Arabidopsis thaliana: one gene and its partners. The protein of the gene in region 1 interacts with the protein of each later gene in a pairwise test. Each region holds a gene or a part of one and is shown in the gene's direction. Other genes may lie near its edges. The genes, in order: AT5G42000, VP2 and ENODL15.

Region 1 (5,712 bases):
AACAGCCCTCATTAGGTAGAACTACAAAGAGAACTCATTAAACTAGGTCAAAATTCTCAAATTCTGATCAATTTCCTCATAATTCAACAATAAAAAACACTCAACCAAACGAGATTGAATGCAAATTCACACATGAATCAACGAAGACAGTGACGTACCCTGATGTAACGGCCAGAAGGATCTTTCTCGGCAAAATCAGCCTCTTCCATGGACGATATCTGACCTAAAAATCCAGAACCAGAAGCCATATATGTATGCACAACACAACAAACAAAGCAATCGAGAACAGAAGGAGAAGAAGAAAAAAGTGGAGAATTTAAGGTGAGATTGAAGATGAAAAGAAAGAAAGCTGAAGAGGACGGAGGTTATTACAAAGAAAAAGGTTATAAGAAGAAGAAATGGACGGAGGAGATACAATCGGAGAAAGCCTCACGAGCGAAGCAATAAGAATCGATTGAAGAAGTTCGAAATCGAGATCGGAAACGGAGTTTGGCGGCGAAAGAAATCCCCATCATCTCCGATTTTCCGATTTCCCGATCTCTTCTCCCGTCGTGATTCCGTCTCTTCTCTTTTATCCGATTAAATCCTTCCATTGATGATCCACCATGATTTTGATTTTGGTCCCCGAAAGAATCTGCTAGATCGATAGAGAAAAAACGAAGGATGATGATGATGATGAAATCAATGAAAGGAATTTCGGAGAAAGGGAATTTAGGAAGAACAAAACAAAAAAAGGTTGGCGGCCAAATAAATCGGAAAGTCAAATTATCTGTCTTTATCAACTAACGCACTTTCTCTTATATTTGAGATTATTCTACTAATTATGTATCCTCTGTTTTCATTTTATTTCAGCTGACTTTAGGCCATTTATGCAATTACATGTTTCAGGTTATGAATAATTTCTACTAATAAAACATTATGCTAGGTGCACCAAAAAAAAAACATTATGTAAATCCTCAGAAATACGATGTTATTTCCTTTGTTTCAAAATATAAAATGTTTAAAACAATCACACATATTAAGATCATTCTTTCTAAAAAATATTATTTATAGAATTAAAAATTTTAACTAATCATAAGAAAAAACTGCAGAATATAAATGATCACAAATTATCAAATACATTTAATTTTCATAGAAACTAACAAAATATTTTTTAATATTTAAAAGATAAACTTTTATAACATCTTATATTTTAATTAGAGGGAATAGTAATCTATTTAAAGTTTTTTTTCTGTGCATGGAAATCAAGAAATTGTGGAATCTAAATTCTATAAGTTTAATAAAAAGATATAGCTAGTTCAAATTTAATGAACCTTGGATAGTATAGCATTAATACGAAATCATTTTGTCGTTGAATAATATATTTTGTGTTAAAAGTCCAATTGCTTTTATTGAATAAGTTGGTGAGACAGAGTGTGTGATGAAGAAAAGAAAAAACAAAAAAATTGTAAGTTTGTCTTAAAAAACCAACGAGGCTTAATCGTGTTTATTGTAATCATTAGGTGAATCTAAATCTAATCCTCATCAAGTTGAAAATATGAGAAGAACAAAAAACTGATAATTTTAGATATTTATTCGAAGATGTTTTTTAAAATGGTATTTTATTCGAAATATTTTTCACGGAAGCACTGGATGGAAAATTTGGTAGCAAAAAAAAAAGGATTTCGAAATTTGGCAGCTAAAATTTGTTCAAAAATAAAATGAAATAACTCTTACTAATATGGTCAAGAATTAACTTCAGAACATATTTTGAAAATGTAAATTAAATTATCGGATGAAAAGGTACGGGTCGGGTCGGAAAACCGGTGTGTTTTGTAATGGGCCTCTATGTAAGCTGACAAGAAAAGTCCAATAAATTAAAAATATGAGTCGTCGTGGTTTATCGAGTGACGCGTTGAGAGTCTTGAGACAGAGTTACTGATAATCATTGTTTTAGGCTAAGATCGGTGAGCCACCCAACCACCTTCCTATTTTAATTTAATGCTTCTTTTTAAAAAAATTGTAGAAAATAAAAAGCCCAGAAAGAGCCCAAAGAACGCAGCAGAGAAAAAAAAAACAAAGAAGAAAGAAAACTTGCTCAACGACGATTCATCAATCATCATCTCCGATCTTCTTCCAAATCCCTCCGGTGAAAAAGACGATGTACGTAAGAGCACTTCCGACGACGGATGTGAATCGGAACACAGAGTGGTTCACATATCCTGGTGTTTGGACTACTTATATTCTCATCCTCTTCTTCTCTTGGCTCCTCGTTCTCTCCGTCTTCCATTGTTCTCCTGGCATCGCTTGGACCATTGTTCATCTCGCTCATTTCACCGTATTATTCCCGATCTCCTCCGATCCAATTTCGAAATTGTTGGTTTCTAGATTTGAATTTTTGAGTTTTTTTGTTTTCTAGGTCACGTATCATTCCTTCCATTGGAAGAAGGGAACACCATTTGGAGATGATCAAGGAGTCTATAATAGATTGACTTGGTGGGAACAGATTGATAATGGCAAGCAGCTTACACGTAATCGCAAATTTCTCACCGTTGTTCCTGTTGTCTTGTAAGTTCCTTCTCTCATATCTCATTAGGATTTTGTTTTGCATCATCATCTCTTGTTGATCTTGTTCAGTATCGAAAAATTGAATGCCTTACCTTATTTTCTATGATTGTTTCTGTATTTGGTGTAATTTTTGCTTAAGTTATGTTTTAGAGATACATTGATCTTCGTTTCCCTACCTACTTGTTCTTTATCTTATTGTAGCTCATTTTACATCTGGTTATATAGAGATGCTAGTCAATGAGCTTAATTACAATTCTATTCCTAGGTGAAGTGGTTGTTTTGACAATTTGATTTGCAATTATTACTACACAGAATACATTTTGACATGACAATCAGATACACAAGAGTCAAGACACTACCGTTCTTCTCATTTTGATTTCTGTTTGTTGACTAGTGCTTCAAATCTGTTCACTGATTAGGGTTGGACCTAAGTTTCCTACTATGATTAAACTCGCTTGATTATTAAGGTCTTTTAGCTAGTGCTCAAGAGCCTTGGATTTAGATTTAGATTTAGACATTCGTACAAGACATAAGGTCTGTTATGAGTTTGCTGAATCTCTCTTAAAAGAAGCACTACTAGATTATGTGTAGTGGAATACCTCAATTGTGTTGTGTGTGACGAATATGTAATCAATGATTGGATCTTTGTGACATAAAAGTCTGACCAAACTTTGTATGTAGGTACTTGATAGCCTCTCACACAACAGACTATCAGCACCCGATGCTCTTTCTCAACACACTGGCTGTATTTGTCATGGTGGTTGCGAAATTCCCGCACATGCACAAGGTCCGCATATTTGGAATCAATGGAGACCAATGAAAAAACTTGAGAAAACAAAGAAAAAGGTCTGTGTATAATGCGAATCAGAGTATTTGGAATGTGGAATCCAACAACAAATGCCATCATCATCATTCAACATGTCTGTACTATACAGACATTGAATCCCTTAACCGGAGAAAATGTGTTATTTGGTCACATCCCATCATCGCATATTCAAACCTTTCTACTCTTTGTTTGGGGCTTCTAATCAATTCATATTTGATCTCTTTTGTGGTTCTCTTAGTTTCTTATTTGTATAATCCCAAAACTGGTTACAACAGAAAGTTGTTTAGCGAGCAATCTAGGGTTTGAATGAATAGTTGGGGAAGATTTATTTATATATACCGTTTTTGATATATATATATATATCATCTTTATAACTAAATCCGATGATTTTGTTGTTGTTGGTGAATTACGTTAGTGACAAGGGTAAAGACATTTTAGCACACGTGAGGTAATGTATTGAGCTCAAAAGGGAAATTGACAAAATCGTGTTCCCACCACCTGAAAACAATATTTTTTTTTTATATTCAAATTTACTGTTAGTGTGTAAATGAATAATTAGATGACATTAAACCAAATTAAAAACAATAGGGAATTTTTAAAAACAATTTGTCCATTTGTACCCTGAGTTATCACCTTGTTCCTAATTGTTTAGTGAATAGGTGGGTAACATATATCGATATTGACTCACACAAAAAAGACTAGAATTTGTTCATCTATCAATAGGCAAATAACTAAAACAAACAATGACCAAATCAAAACGTGGAAAAACAAAAAAAAATAATGGGAAAGATCAATTTTTCTTAAATTAAGATGTAGTATAATGTCGTTTATCTCAAATCAAGAGAAGAAAAGTAAAAATACATTAAAGAAAGACAAATCAACATATGATTATTGAAATAAAAGTGGGATTAGAATATTCATGTTGACTAAGTAAGTGCAAACAAATGTTTGACTATTTCAAAATTAGTTTTTTAATAAATAAAAAAACAAGAGAGAAGAAAAAGACAAAAGAAGAAGGAAAGGATCTTTGTTCTGTTTTATTTGTTTCTCTCTTCCTCTCTTCTTCTTCTTCTTCTTCGTACAATCGAAGAAACAAAACCTCTCAATTTCCGAATATCTCGCTCTTAAACCCTCTCCAATATCTTTCTTTCAAAACCCAACCTTTTGTTTATAAAAACCTTCGCAAGGATTTGCGACTTTAAGAAACGTGACCCGAATCGTCGCAATGTTTGGATAAGAGTTTTAAACTCATTCGTTTCGATGCAATCATTTTGACCAGACAAAGACTATTTATAAGAAAGAGCAGAATTTTGATTCAAACCCGGTTTGATTTTGGTGAAGATGTAAGTAAATCTCTCATAAACTCTTCGTTTTCTCTGTTGGGTTCTTTGCTTTACCCTTAAGTAATCTCCTTTTTGCCGATGGTATTGATTTGCCATGAGTTTATCTTACTACTTCCTTTTGGTGTTACGTGTGGATTAGTTTTATTCGAACCATGGTTGCAAATTTCTGTCCTTTTTCAGCAATTGTGTCCGATATTTGACTTTGTGAATTCTGACGAAATCTGTGTGTTTTTGATCAGAAGCTGTGAGATGGGTACTCGAGGGAACGAGGAAGAGGAAGATTGGTTTTCTGATGCTCGTGAGGAGGTTTCATCTGTTTCTGATTGTAACTCTGAAGTCGCCGATGACTTTGTTCAAGCAACTGGTGATTTAGATCTTTGGACTATGAATCCAGAGAGTGTTACTAACCGTAGACAAAAGTTTTTTCAATCTATGGGTTTTAGTTTCAAAAAACGAGACTTTGATCTTGATCTTGATCTGTTGGGAGACTCTAGTTCCGACCATATTCCGGTTTCGAAACAGTTGACCTCTGTGTCTGAAACTGATCACGAGGAGGAAGAGAAGGAGGAGAAGTTGTTGAGGAATGAATCTACTTCCTCTGGATCCTCCGTTTCATCTTTCTCAACTGCATCTTTGGCTGAAGCATTTAGTTTCAGAGGTTCTTTTCAGAATCGTGCCAAGAACATTGATGATCAGATTTTGCTGACGAGAGACTATTCAAGTAATAGTAGTAGCATTGCTGAGGGATTGAGTGAATCTGATTCGAGTAGGTTTGATAGCTATGGAGATTTACCGAACTCTCCAATGAGTCGTTATGAAGAATCGCCTAAAAAAGGAGCTAAAGGGTGGTTAAAGAAGTTAGGTGTGTTAACTCATGTTCTTGACAAAACTGAAGAGTGCACTGATGGTGAGTCAACGAGATCATCGATACGGAGGCAATTAACTCGAGTTCAGTCTTTTAAGAAGCAATTCAAGGAGCTTTCGTCTCTGTGTGTC
Region 2 (9,215 bases), on another chromosome or scaffold:
TATAAATAAGTCAGAAGAGGTAGCCTATCTTGTTTTCAGCATACTATGTGTACATTACTAACTTCGGTGAATCAGTTAATGCAAACAGAAAAGTTCCATGCAATTTAAGATGTGGAGGTAAGAACTGTTACATACTACCTGATTATTAGTTTAAGTTGTTCCTTGTTACTATTGGAAGCCTACAGATGAATGGCTAAATGCCGATGAAGAAGATATTTAATAGTATGCACAACATGCGCATGTTATCACTCACCTCCAGAGCAGCTTGATCCTGAGGCGTGCCATTGAGAGTTGTTTCAAACTCTTTGAGCCTTTGCTGCAAAATGAAAAAAAATCGAGATGTTTACTACGTATCTTACTTTATTCAGATTATCAAAGTTCATGAACGAAATCTTCATGATCAGCCCCTAATATTACCTGAAGCGTGGCTTTCTCTTCTTCTGAAATTTGATTTTTAACTACTGTTGTGTTCTTAGTTGGACTATCACTGAAAAGTGGTAAAAACATTGTTAGAACTGACACCGGCTAAATTACATGACAACATGACTTGGTATGACAAAAATGTGAAATTACGGAAACCAACCCAGCTGATCCTAAGAACATATGATGTCATCAGAATCTTTACACAAACAATTACAAACTGGAATAAAAAGAAGGAAAATGACAAACAGTAACATGGTGTAAATGACACAGTTATGACTTGGACTTCACTTAACGCACCTTCCCGTGGGAAGAAAGTCACCAAGAGCAAAAACCAAACCAAATACAACAACAGCTATGCCAACTCCAACCTGTCATGGCATGGGCCCAAGTTTTGTCATGTTATGTATGAGTAGCTTATAGGCCTCAAGTGGTTTTAGAACAAAATAAAAAATAAACACTTGCAAGATGTTATGTATGCGTACCTTAGTACCAAGACCAATTGTTTTCTGGTCAGACTTGACTGGTGCATCATAGTCAATTGGACCAAATTCTTTAACTACTTCTGTCTTTTTCTGCTCAAGAGCTGACCTGATTCATCAAAAGAGCAGAGGTCACAGAAATAACATTCCGATCAGTGGGAGGACAATGATCTTGACTATGTCTAGGGGGTGAGGGAAGTGGAAAGCAAGACAAGTGATGAACAAATCAAGAAAAAAAAAGAATCAAACTTTCATAGGAAGATCATGTCGTTGTGGGTATAATGAGAAAGTCAAGTGTGATTGTCAGAGGAATAATCCTATTGTAACCTATATATCTCTAAAGCCAATCTTCATGCTAGAATCATAAAACATAGGTACCTTCTGATGTTTTCCAGCCGTTCATCGAAGTCTATATCAAAAGATCGACCAGATTTTCCTTCAAACTGAGTATTCAGACCAGGTGCCTCTGCAAACAAATGCAGGAGTTTCTTGAGCAAACCTTTCAATTGAAACCAACTTTTTGAGATAAACTGAAGAATGCAAAAATGAAGTTATGTTCGAGACACCATGAAGGAGAGCAGCAACATCTGTTACGTACAATATGCTTTAAAATCAAATTATACTTACTTCTGGGTACAGAAACAGACTGTTTAGAAGATGATTTCCTGCAGCAAAGAAGTCCATATGAAAATATAACAACAGCAATTTAAAATTCTAAATGCTTTAAACAAACACAAAAACTATTTATACCTTTGCTGCAATGCCGGGTCTTTCTCTTCCTGTGATGCGATTTCACATTTTTGTCTCAGTACTTTGAATCAACAAAATTAAGTTGAACAAAGAAGAATTTGGAATCAAACCTTTTTTGAGCCGAAGCCACGCTTAGGGTTAGAATCCGAGCAACGTATTCGAAATAGGAGAAGCTTCGAGTTAAATGAAACGGAGGTCGTCGCCGCTAGTGTCATCAACATCCTCTGTTTGTATTGTCCTAACCAAAACAGAGAATTTTCTAAGAAAGTTTCAAAGAAATAATGAGAAGTAACGGCTACGAAGAGAAATTCGTCCGCCGGAGATTGACGATGAAAGGTGAGCTCCGTGATCGGGCCGGTAAGATAACGTTAGTGGTTCTTCTTCTTCTTCACTTTGCAGATTGTCTATTATATGGGCCGAATGGCAAAACATAATTTTGGGCTAGGCCCATATAATATTCAAATGTTAATATTCCAAAATTGATGGGTATTTTTGATAATTTAACTCGATCTATATAATTTAACAAACGAGGATGATTTTAAGTTTTTAACTTTTTAAGTGAGAATAGTGATTAAGTGTCAACGACTCATTGGATAGGATGTGTCATAAAATTAGTATTGAACCACTGAGGAGTGAAAATAAAATTAAAGGTAGAAAAATTAATTTAGGAAAAAAATATTCGGAAAGTTCTGTGAAAAGTCTTCGGATTTAGAACGGAGACAGCGAGAGGATAGAGCGCTTCTTCGGCTACAACAAGCTTTCGCTAATGGCGGTTTCCTTCTGATCACTCTCACCGGAGCCGTCATCTTCTCTGTTTTACCGATTTTTAGGGTTTGTTTCCGGATAAACTCTTCGTATGCTTTTTTTTTTTCGTTGGATTCGTTTCTGGAAACGTATCCATTTCCTGTCTAGAGATCATGTGAATTTCTCTTAGAACAGAACTCAGATCTAAATTAAAGTAACGGTGCTTGATTCATTAAACTCGGAATGCAAAGTCCCTTGCGTTTTATTCACTGAAATCTTAGTCGATTAGATCTTGAGGTCTGTTTGTTAATCGCACTTTTCTGGGGAATTGATCGTAGAAGCAATTACGCTCATGGGAAATGATGAAAGTTATAGCTAAACTTTACTGTAGAACCTTACTCTGATTATATTTCATTTAAAAATGCTATTTGGTTGGTAAAGAGAAACATCACAACTTTTCATACTTTTCTATTTTTTTCAGAAATTTTGATTGTGGTGGAAACTTGTTGTGGCAACTCTACTGAGAAAGTTTGAAGAAGCTGGAATCAAAGATATAGCTAGAGTTAAGAGGGTTCATACTAACTTGTGCTCGTTTTGTGATGTGCTGTTGTTAACGTTTGGAGGAAAAAGTTGTAGTGTATTAAAATTCAGCGTCCGAGTTCTGGGGCGGAGTTGCCCCATAGCATTGACTTTACGCCTCTACACATAGTCCGAAGGGCTAATTCAGCTCAAAACATGATGATGGATGAAGATGTTGAGCAGGCCAGTTTGATGTCTTTCAATGACAGGCCTAGGGCTTTTCCCAACATGCGTAGTAAAACCTATAGTCCACTGGTACAACTTTTATTCCTCTCTTTCTTGAGTGCTTTTCTTTTTGCTTGCATCAGATCACTGAGATGCGTATTATAACTAGTTTCCTTCTATTTCGTTTAGCATCTTAGTTTCTTGAGCATCTCGTTTTCATTTTCTTTGAAATTGTATAAAGTTTAGTTGTTTTTTGGCAGATATTCCGGATTATTAGGAAATTAAATGTCCGTGTCCTTTCGATAATTCTGCTTTTCTGCTTCGGAGCAATCTTTTACATGGGGGCAAGTACTTCTCCCATCATCGTGTTCGTCTTCACAGTATGCATCATCAGCTTCCTTTTGTCAATATATCTAACCAAGTGGGTTTTAGCGAAAGATGAAGGACCTCCAGAGATGGTTGAGGTAAGCTCACTCAGATTATGTGGTGTTAGTCATGATGTTGACATTTTTCCTTCTTTGTTCTCATCAAAAATTTGTAATTCTAATTTGTGAGGTAATTCTCTTACTTATAGATATCAGATGCTATACGTGATGGAGCTGAAGGTTTTTTCAGAACGCAGTATAGCACTATATCCAAGATGGCCATTTTGCTAGCTTTTGTGATTCTTTGCATATATCTATTCCGTAGCTTAACTCCCCAGCAAGAGGCTGCTGGTTTAGGAAGGTGCTGATACATGATTACATTCACAAGATTTATTTTATCTTTTGAATTGTTGTGAATGAAGCTTAGCCATATTACTATTTTGCTGCAGGGCGATGTCTGCTTATATTACTGTTGCTGCATTTCTTTTGGGGGCTCTATGCTCAGGTATTGCTGGATATGTTGGAATGTGGGTGTCAGTTCGTGCTAATGTGCGGGTCTCCAGTGCTGCCAGACGATCTGCGAGAGAAGCATTGCAGGTTCTTCTTTAGTTTAGCTATTTTGGTAACATGTCATGTACACGTTTCCAAATACTAAGTGGCAGATATAATGCAGATAGCCGTTCGTGCTGGTGGGTTTTCAGCCCTGGTTGTTGTTGGTATGGCTGTGATTGGTATCGCCATCCTCTATTCTACATTTTATGTGTGGTTGGGCGTGGGTTCACCAGGCTCAATGAATGTTACTGACCGTAAGTCTTCTGCTCTTTTTTTTTTATGAAAAATATTCATTTTCGTCTTGTGTGTATATTCTATAATCATTGTACTGAGTTTCAAAAAGTTATTGTTATCTTTTCAAAGGATCATTTTCAGACATGAGCAGTATTTTCTTAAATATGTCATGACTTGTATTAATCTTGATTGAGGTGGGGTACCAATACAGTTCTAAGATTTTCAGTGAACCCTATATGTAATTCTCTTGATTTATTGACCAGAATTTGCATTTGCATGGGCGATAGTGGAGCTATTAAACTTGTAAGATTTATTGATTGAATTTTCTGTTTCTCTTACAGTACCTCTTCTTCTTGTCGGATATGGTTTTGGTGCTTCGTTTGTTGCCTTATTTGCTCAGTTGGGTGGTGGAATATATACTAAGGGAGCTGATGTTGGGGCAGATCTCGTTGGGAAAGTTGAGCAGGGAATTCCCGAGGATGATCCTCGAAATCCTGCTGTTATTGCTGATTTGGTATTTGATCTTTGTTCTTTTTGTTTCTTACTTTCTTGATTCTGTGATTCCCAAACGTGACATCCTTGTTTGGGGCATATATCACTCTACAAGGGTTTGCTTGTGTTTTCGTCATTTAGGCATTTAAAGCCATTTTCATCTTCTTGTAGGTTGGAGACAATGTGGGGGACTGTGCTGCTAGAGGTGCTGATTTATTTGAAAGTATAGCTGCAGAAATCATCAGTGCAATGATACTAGGTGGAACAATGGCTAAGAAGTGCAAAATTGAAGGTGCACCATCTCTCTTTAAAGTTACTTCTGGTATATGCAAATATATAACTTATGGTGTGAGTTCCTGACTCATACCGAGAAAATTAAATGAACTGCTAGGATTTTATAATCTGAAATGCAAACTTAGGAAGAGTTGCATAGAGAGTTCAAGCTCGTAAATTACATTCTGTATACAGAATAATCTACGCTTTATTGCATGTTTTGGTCACTCCTTGAGGATTTGAGGGTACATTATTACTTGTTAGGATTTAAAAAGTCGACATAAGTTGTATAGAGTTATTGTTTGAAGCACCTTGTACGAACCTGCTATGCATTGTGTGAAAATTGAAGGAAGACTACTTTTCATGACAGCAAGCTACACTTGGCTGCAGTCAAAAAATTTCAATAACATTACCCATTTCTAGCAGTGGTTGTTAGATATGCGCTGATAAACATCCTATTAAACCTCTTGTTCATGCTTGATACTTACTCAAATCTTTCTCTATTATGCAGATCCATCAGGCTTTATCCTTTTTCCTCTAGTTGTTCATTCTTTTGACTTGATTATATCCTCAATTGGTATTCTATCAATCAAGGGAACACGTGATGCTAGTGTGAAATCTCCGGTAGAGGATCCAATGGCTGTACTTCAGAAAGGATATTCTCTGACAATTATATTAGCTGTTATAACATTTGGCGCGGTAATGTTGTCACACATAACCATTGATTGTCTTGTTCCTTTCATTCTTTTTACAATTAATTCTGCTTTTTATGGGCTTTTTGGTTCAGACTTTTCATTAGCCTACACTAGCCTTGTTATTACTGAAATTTCGAACAAATTCTTTGCTATATTCTTCTGACAGCATTATTTATGTTTGTAGTCGACTCGCTGGCTGCTTTACACTGAACAAGCTCCATCTGCATGGTTCAATTTCGCCCTATGTGGGTTGGTTGGCATCATCACAGCCTATATCTTTGTCTGGATATCCAAATATTATACAGACTATAAGCACGAGCCTGTTCGGACGTTGGCTCTTGCTAGCTCGACTGGTCATGGGACTAATATCATTGCTGGAGTAAGCTTGGGCCTGGAATCAACTGCTCTTCCAGTTTTGACTATAAGTGTAGCTATTATTTCTGCGTATTGGTTGGGCAATACCTCGGGTCTAGTGGACGAAAATGGTATTCCCACTGGAGGTCTATTTGGAACAGCCGTTGCTACAATGGGAATGCTAAGCACTGCAGCTTATGTCCTTACTATGGACATGTTTGGCCCCATAGCTGACAACGCTGGTGGGATTGTCGAGATGAGCCAGCAGGTAAGATGTCACATGATTGGCTTGAAAGGCTCTTATGTTCCATCTTTATTCTATGTAGAAATAATAAATGTTTCGTGCAGCCAGAGAGTGTCCGTGAGATCACTGATCTTCTTGATGCTGTTGGGAACACCACAAAAGCAACAACGAAAGGGTTTGCCATTGGATCTGCTGCACTTGCATCATTCCTTCTCTTTAGTGCGTATATGGACGAGGTTTCAGCGTTTGCTAATGTGTCTTTCAAAGAGGTAGATTTCGTTATGCATCGTTGCTGTATTCTCGATGTTGAGACAACTTCTCATACTCATCCTCGGATAAAATCAGGTTGATATTGCTATCCCAGAAGTGTTCGTTGGTGGATTATTGGGTGCCATGCTTATTTTCCTCTTTAGTGCTTGGGCATGCGCGGCAGTTGGTCGAACTGCACAAGAGGTTGTCAACGAAGTAAGAAGGCAATTTATTGAGAGGCCTGGCATAATGGTGAGCATATTTTTCCTTTTGAGTGCTTCACCTTTTCTTGTGTATTGGCTTGTACCGTTGTTGACTAGCAAATATCTTGTTGCAGGAGTACAAGGAGAAGCCAGATTATAGTCGCTGTGTCGCCATAGTCGCATCTGCAGCTTTAAGAGAAATGATAAAGCCAGGAGCTTTAGCTATTGCATCACCCATTGTAGTTGGTAAGTCAGTAATATCTACTCGTTTTTCTTTACTTACTGTATTGAAAGTTTGAAACCACAACATTGTGACCAAAAACAAACCTCTTGTTCTCTCTTTCAGGTTTGGTGTTTCGAATCTTGGGTTACTACACAGGACAACCTCTGCTCGGAGCAAAAGTTGTAGCTTCTATGCTCATGTTTGCAACAGTTTGTGGTATCTTAATGGCACTTTTCCTAAACACGGCGGGAGGTGCTTGGGACAATGCAAAGAAATACATAGAGACCGGGGCACTTGGGGGCAAAGGAAGTGAAGCTCACAAAGCAGCTGTGACTGGTGATACGTAAGTATTTTCGTTCTACTTCAACACTCATTCAAAGTTATATTCCTGAATACGATTTCTCATTAGAATTCATCTGAAAATTGTAGCGTGGGAGATCCGTTCAAGGACACAGCCGGTCCATCCATTCACGTCCTCATAAAAATGCTTGCGACTATAACTCTCGTCATGGCTCCGGTTTTCCTCTGAAAGTGAACCGTTACTTATCCATCCCGGCTTATTTACTCTCTTGCACATATACAAATAGAGAGGGAGAGAGGTTGGTTATAAAATGATTTACATGGATTAATGGTTTTTGTGTTTCATTTCATCTGAATAAATGAGATAATTCTGTTTTTGAGTTTAGAGACACTCTTTAAGGAATTCTAGAGACATTTTAATCAACCACATCTTTGACTTTGAGAGTCTTTATTTTCCTCGATTTAATCTTTCTAGTACTTCTTCTTACTCTTCTTGATTTGCCTCCAACTCGTACAGACAATTGTCTACTCGGTAGTCTTATGAGACGGCGGTTGTTGCGATTGCTGCCATGATGGTGGTGGCTGTGTTTGCTTCCTAGTCTTCTTCTTCTCTGCTTTGGTCTAATGTTATCTATTCGACTGGGACTGTCCGATGAACTTGATTCATCATCACTCGGATAATCATAGGTCGTAGCTTCTATATCATCGAGACGTTTTCTGCGACGGTTGACCCGATTTATGTTAGTCAAACTGTGACACAAGCAACTAATCATCTCTCCAATGTCGAACCAGTACGCTGCACAAGCGGCACATGACATTTTGCAGATACTTTTCACAACACATTGGCAAATTCCAAGCTTGAACAGGAGGGTGATGAACATCAAAACTGGGAAAAAGAAACAAATACAAAATTATAGAAAACAAAGGAAAGTTCACAGAATCAATAGTGAATGCTAAAAATCGGAAATAAGAGAAAGGTTTACTTATGAAACAGAGGCTTGACATCAGCACAAGCTTTGCAATATCAGGAAGACAGAAATGTTCTATGAAACACTCAAGATCCCATGGTCCCGAGCATACATCTCTGTAATTTTTAAACAGAAGAGAAATCCTCAAAACATGCGATAGAAAAACAAACCAAAGCGATTTCACGACAGAATTCAGACAATGACGTGAAAATCTTACAAACAGGATCTTCCAAGTGTGGCTTTTAACGGTGCTGTGAAAATATTCCCGATAAAACCTCCGATGTCGTTTGATGCTTTGCCTATAGCGTTTCCCATTTTTGCTTAGAACGGTAATCAGTGACTCGCTCCAATCATTTTCTCAACAATCATGTTTATCAAACGTAAAGAGATAAATAAATTTTCTGTGAATTTTCAGAATATGAATGAAGTTACATCCTCGCGTACAGTTTCAGAAACGAAAGAAAAAAAATTGCGAGAAACCGTTTCCAGAGAGAAAATTCGGCATATTTTTCATAATTTTCAATAAACCGTTTGTTTTTTTTGGTCCAAAAACATGGTAGGAATATTTTGAAAACCCTCGAAAACAATTCATACACTTATACACACACATCAGCCGATTTTTTTTTGGTAAGAAGTTAGGAATTTGTATACAAACACTGGAAGTACATACACTAGCGGTTATATGAACAATGCAAACAGACAAAACTGAAGAAGCTTCAGAGATATCACCAATCTCATTACATAGTGTGATTTTCTCTAAGAAACTTTTTCACCTACAATATAACTACGAGATTTCACTGTGAGTTTGAAGCTCTCCTAAACCCAAGAAATCAGCAGCAAACTCTTCATCGTTTTTGCCTAACATTTCCTGTAATGTACATTCTATGTTCCTCCCTTTGAGTACCCTAAACCGCGGTTTTATC
Region 3 (4,533 bases), on another chromosome or scaffold:
TTTTCAGGTCTATCTTTATCTTATTGTTTTCTTCTTGAACATCATGAAATAAAATGATAGAAGACTCCACCAATATGGAGAAGACTCAATTGGATGTTTTGTAATAGTGGTGTGAGTTTCGTAATAGTAAGCTGTATTTGCCAAATGACGAAATGTTATCATATGGGTTTGAGGAATAAGTACACAAACCCTATTATCCAAGTAAAAAATAACGTGGCCATTTGTTTTATTTTGCACAAAACAATGTATATATATAATGTACGTATCTATTAAATTTGTAGCTCTAATTAATATTTACGAGTGAGAGAGTTGATTCTAATGACGTTACATACCAAACTTATGCAAAATCTCATTTAAGTCATTGAATTTCTATCTTTTTGTTATTGAAAAATTGGAAAGTGAAGATTTTAGATATTTAATTGTTAGTCATGAGTTATGGCTTATGGACGAGCCGTTAGATATGTTTCTAAGTAGTGGATACTTGAACTGAAGCTTTTAGTAGTAGTACTTTGAATGTTTTATCAGAATTGATTAGAAAGTAAACGATGATCAGCCTAATTTAAAGACGAAAATGTTGATTTATAAATAAAATGTGTGCAGTTGGTGAGGAGAGAAAAAAAAGTTTGTCGTCCAGGTTTTATGCTCATAAAGCAACACATGAGTGTTTCTACCTAACAGCCTATGTCAATACACTTACTTTTCTGGGCCATTAAGTGGACTCACCTAATTTTTTCATATTTATAACGTTACGATCTTATTTTATGCCAATCAACGTTTTTTAAAGACATGCGAATCACCAATTGTCTCATAGAATCAACTTGCTATTATTTTGTAGTTGACTAAAAAATTACTATTTCTTTCCTTAAACTTTTATTTGGCACTTGACAGTAAGTAATCAAGACCACATTGCCGATTCAAAATAATCACACCGTTCGAAATTTTCAAATTGAGTTTTCTTGTTAGAGAATTTACCCTAAAACTAAATCAAAACCAAACTGAATAAATTCCATAAACAATTGGAATTTTCTATTTTTCATTAAGACTGGAAATATAAAAACGTAATCAAAGTCATATCAAAAGACTGCAAAACCGGATTTGTAGTCTTTGAATGCCATGCATGATGATGCTCTACACATCTTTTAGGATATGGCCCAAAAATATTAATACGCAAAAGAAGCCCACAATAATGGCCCTACTTTTAAGCGACATAACACAGAGAAATGTAGAGGATTCGGTGATCTAAATTATACGCATGCATTTGCTACACAAGACTACTCTATTCCTCCCATTTTATTCTTCTGCTTGCTCTAGTAGTTGACATAAGCCATTCTTGGACACGTTATGTTATTTTATTACAAGTAAATAAGAAGTTCCAACAAGAGCATGAAGCAAGAACAAAATTACAAAAGCAAAAAAAGAAGAAGAAGATAAACCCTTTAATTCTTCCCTTGAAATTTTACTTTCTTGGATGTGTATCTTCAGGTTTAGCCGTCCCTGTGGCAGCCTTAGCTACATCAGTGGCAGTGGCTTCCGGCTTCTTCTTAGCATACATAACAGTGTACATGATGGCCCCCGAGATAGCTAATCCGGCTAGAGCCATCGTCGTGTAACTGTATGGCAAGTTACGGCGTTGATGAAGAACACCACCTGGATTACTTCCTGGCGGCCTCTTTGATGACTCAACGCCGGCAGCTTTTACTCCCTCCGAGCTCATCTTCGTCGTATCTGCTGTTTTTCTCCAGTCTTCTTCTCCGGCCATGCTTATGCCTTCTTCAGTATTTTTTTGGTTGGGACTATACTAATCATGGAAAATTCAGCTTTAGCTATAGGTTTTTGGATATAGTAAGAGTCACGAAGACACGTAGTGTCGTTGGAGTTTGTTAATGTGTTCAATAAGGGACACCTAGCTGATTCTCTTTATTTTCTGTAATAAACATATTAGGCAGGTGTCATGCCTTAGAATCGTAACTAAGCCAGGTGCCAAATTGGGTCTGGACTTTTAACTATAATCAAAATTTATGCCCAAAGTTGGAGGTTTTTGTCTTCTGCTTCTCATATGGGCTTTAGGCGATATGTCTTTTATTCATCTTTTATCAACTTCAAGGCCCAATAAACCCAGTTCCCACTAGCAAACAAAAAGTAAAGTACAAAAACAAAAAACAGAAACAGCTTAGCTTGACCAGTCTTCCTAGAAGACCGTGAAATCACTTTCTCTATCAGAGTTCAAGTTTTGTCGCTCAATCCTAACCGTTACGTTGCCTTTATCATCTCTCCAACGGATACATTAACATTTACCATTTTTTCCTTTTAATTTTTCGTAATTCCTAAACGGCTAGTTTCCAAGTCCTCTACCTTTATATAAACCACACAAGATCCACACTCTCTCCATCCTCAACACACTTTAAAACACATTACACACTCTAATACTTTTAAGGTTTTAGATTCTAATCAATGGCTTCTTCTTCTCTTTTGGTCACCATCTTCCTCTGCATCTCTGTCTTCTTCTTTTCGTCCGTGAATGCAAATGAGGTTACCGTCGGTGGAAAATCCGGTGACTGGAAGATCCCTCCTTCCTCTTCTTTCTCCTTTAACGAATGGGCTCAAAAGGCTCGCTTCAAAGTCGGCGACTTTATCGGTAAATCCATAATTTTCAACTTTTTTTTTTCAATTAGACATTTTGTGTGATCTTCAATATACTCTGTTTCTGACATCGTCACATGTTTATTACAGTATTCAAGTACGAAGCCGGTAAAGACTCGGTTTTGCAAGTGACACGAGAAGCATACGAGAAATGCAACACCACTAGCCCTAAAGCCAGCTACACCGACGGGAACACAAAGGTGAAGCTTGACCAAGCTGGTCCGGTCTACTTCGTCAGTGGAACAGAGGGTCATTGTCAAAAGGGTCAGAAGCTACGCCTAGTCGTCATCACTCCTCGTAACTCTGCTTTCTCTCCAGGTCCTTCGCCATCTGAGTTCGACGGTCCAGCCGTAGCTCCTACTAGTGGTGCCGCTAAGCTCGCCGGCGGATTTAGTGTCGTATTTGGGCTTGTTCTTGGATTATGGGCCTTCTTCTTTTAAAAGACAATTAGTCTTAATTCTATTTATTAATTTTGGAATATAAAGTAGAAATCTTTGTTATTTACTACATTAAATTTATTTTAATCTAAATTGTTCTTCCTCTTTTTCAATTCTGGATAAATTAGTTGGATCTATCAACAATCAACAAAGAAAACAAAACAAAAGTGAATGAGAATTTTGAATTTAGTACCCAAAAAGGTAATTTACAGCAACACAAAGAAACCTGGACTGTCGTGAAAAGAGGCCTAAAAATGGGCCTGAATTGGGCCTAAAGATATTTTGGGAGGGAAGCAAAACGGTAAGGATCGAGTGGAGCGAGTCTGATTTTATCCTCTCGGCAAGTTTTTTATTATTCTGCTTCGAAAATTCTTTCATCAAAAATCTCCGGTTCACCGAAATCGACTCCCTCGCGCTCTTTTCAGCCGGTGAACGGAGACGAATCAAAATGCTCATAGCTATTCAGCACGTGTTTGTGTTTTGTTAGTTATATCTGCGCCACTTGAAATGTGATGAATCATCATCGTTAATCTCTGTTTTCGTTTCAATTTTTGCCGGAGAATTGAATTGTTTTGCTTGCTTGGCTTATCTCTAGAATGGTCGCGTTACTCTGCTCTGCGAGTTTGTGTGGTGATATATCAGTTGGTGATGCTTGTCTTGTTAGTAACATCAAAGCAAAATGTCGCGATAATTTGGTTACTGGAGGATTAAAGTTCCACGCTTTGAAGATTGGGTCTCGGAAGAAACACTGGAGAAGGAAGAGTATGAGATGTAGTGTAGTCTCCATGAAAAGTTCTGACTTTTCGGGTTCTATGATAAGAAAGAGCTCAAAACCTGATTTGTCATCGAGTGAAGAAGTAACGAGGGGTTTAAAGTCGTTTCCTGATACTGATTCTTCATTTTCGTATTTCAAATCAGTGGCTGGGAATTTGAATTTAGTTCACACTACTGAGACTTGTAACTACATGCTTGAAGCTTTGAGGGTTGATGGTAAACTTGAGGAAATGGCTTATGTGTTTGATTTGATGCAGAAAAGAATCATAAAGAGGGATACTAATACTTACTTGACTATCTTCAAGAGTCTTTCTGTGAAAGGTGGATTGAAGCAAGCACCTTATGCACTTCGGAAGATGAGAGAATTTGGTTTTGTGTTGAATGCATATTCATACAATGGGTTGATTCATCTTCTGCTTAAGTCTAGGTTTTGCACAGAGGCAATGGAGGTTTATAGAAGAATGATCTTGGAAGGTTTTAGACCTAGTTTGCAGACTTACTCTTCACTTATGGTAGGTTTGGGGAAAAGAAGGGATATTGATTCTGTGATGGGTTTACTTAAAGAGATGGAGACTTTGGGGTTAAAGCCGAATGTTTACACCTTTACGATATGTATTCGGGTGCTTGGTAGGGCAGGGAAGATTAATGAAGCATATGAAATACTGAAGCGGATGGATGATGA

What was found.
Region 2: the proteins of AT5G42000 (region 1) and VP2 interact in a protein complementation assay, tested with the Arabidopsis thaliana proteins (one large-scale study listed by BioGRID).
Region 3: the proteins of AT5G42000 (region 1) and ENODL15 interact in a protein complementation assay, tested with the Arabidopsis thaliana proteins (one large-scale study listed by BioGRID).

The regions. Positions count from the first base shown.
Region 1 is NC_003076.8:16,797,315-16,803,026, forward strand, and holds AT5G42000 (ORMDL family protein), read left to right. Parts: upstream 1-1,903; 5' UTR 1,904-2,140; coding exon 2,141-2,317; intron 2,318-2,398; coding exon 2,399-2,547; coding exon of another isoform or gene 2,548-2,551; exon of another isoform or gene 2,552-3,228; coding exon 3,229-3,367; 3' UTR 3,368-3,788; downstream 3,789-5,712. Other genes in the region: WNK8 (with no lysine (K) kinase 8), read right to left, coding at 159-248; AT5G42010 (Transducin/WD40 repeat-like superfamily protein), read left to right, coding at 4,966-5,712.
Region 2 is NC_003070.9:29,669,209-29,678,423, forward strand, and holds VP2 (vacuolar H+-pyrophosphatase 2), read left to right. Parts: upstream 1-2,286; 5' UTR 2,287-2,483; intron 2,484-2,571; exon of another isoform or gene 2,572-2,783; intron 2,784-2,877; 5' UTR 2,878-3,131; coding exon 3,132-3,230; intron 3,231-3,400; coding exon 3,401-3,604; intron 3,605-3,714; coding exon 3,715-3,866; intron 3,867-3,954; coding exon 3,955-4,102; intron 4,103-4,178; coding exon 4,179-4,311; intron 4,312-4,632; coding exon 4,633-4,805; intron 4,806-4,954; coding exon 4,955-5,075; intron 5,076-5,567; coding exon 5,568-5,755; intron 5,756-5,935; coding exon 5,936-6,373; intron 6,374-6,453; coding exon 6,454-6,618; intron 6,619-6,694; coding exon 6,695-6,850; intron 6,851-6,935; coding exon 6,936-7,047; intron 7,048-7,147; coding exon 7,148-7,367; intron 7,368-7,453; coding exon 7,454-7,553; 3' UTR 7,554-7,623; exon of another isoform or gene 7,624-7,740; coding exon of another isoform or gene 7,741-8,210; 3' UTR 8,211-8,307; downstream 8,308-9,215. Other genes in the region: AT1G78915 (Tetratricopeptide repeat (TPR)-like superfamily protein), read right to left, coding at 254-316, 418-487, 543-593, 712-791, 906-1,011, 1,281-1,368, 1,530-1,567, 1,653-1,681 and 1 more; AT1G78922 (uncharacterized protein), read right to left, coding at 7,741-8,210, 8,308-8,408, 8,510-8,607; AT1G78930 (Mitochondrial transcription termination factor family protein), read right to left, coding at 9,077-9,215. UniProt on the Arabidopsis thaliana protein: Pyrophosphatase active in both inorganic pyrophosphate hydrolysis and H(+) translocation.
Region 3 is NC_003075.7:15,399,347-15,403,879, forward strand, and holds ENODL15 (early nodulin-like protein 15), read left to right. Parts: upstream 1-2,293; 5' UTR 2,294-2,451; coding exon 2,452-2,635; intron 2,636-2,730; coding exon 2,731-3,080; 3' UTR 3,081-3,283; downstream 3,284-4,533. Other genes in the region: AT4G31830 (uncharacterized protein), read right to left, coding at 1,457-1,759; PGR3 (proton gradient regulation 3), read left to right, coding at 3,674-4,533. UniProt on the Arabidopsis thaliana protein: May act as a carbohydrate transporter. Required, together with ENODL11, ENODL12, ENODL13, ENODL14 and ENODL15, for male-female communication and pollen tube reception and burst at the synergid cell surface of the female gametophyte.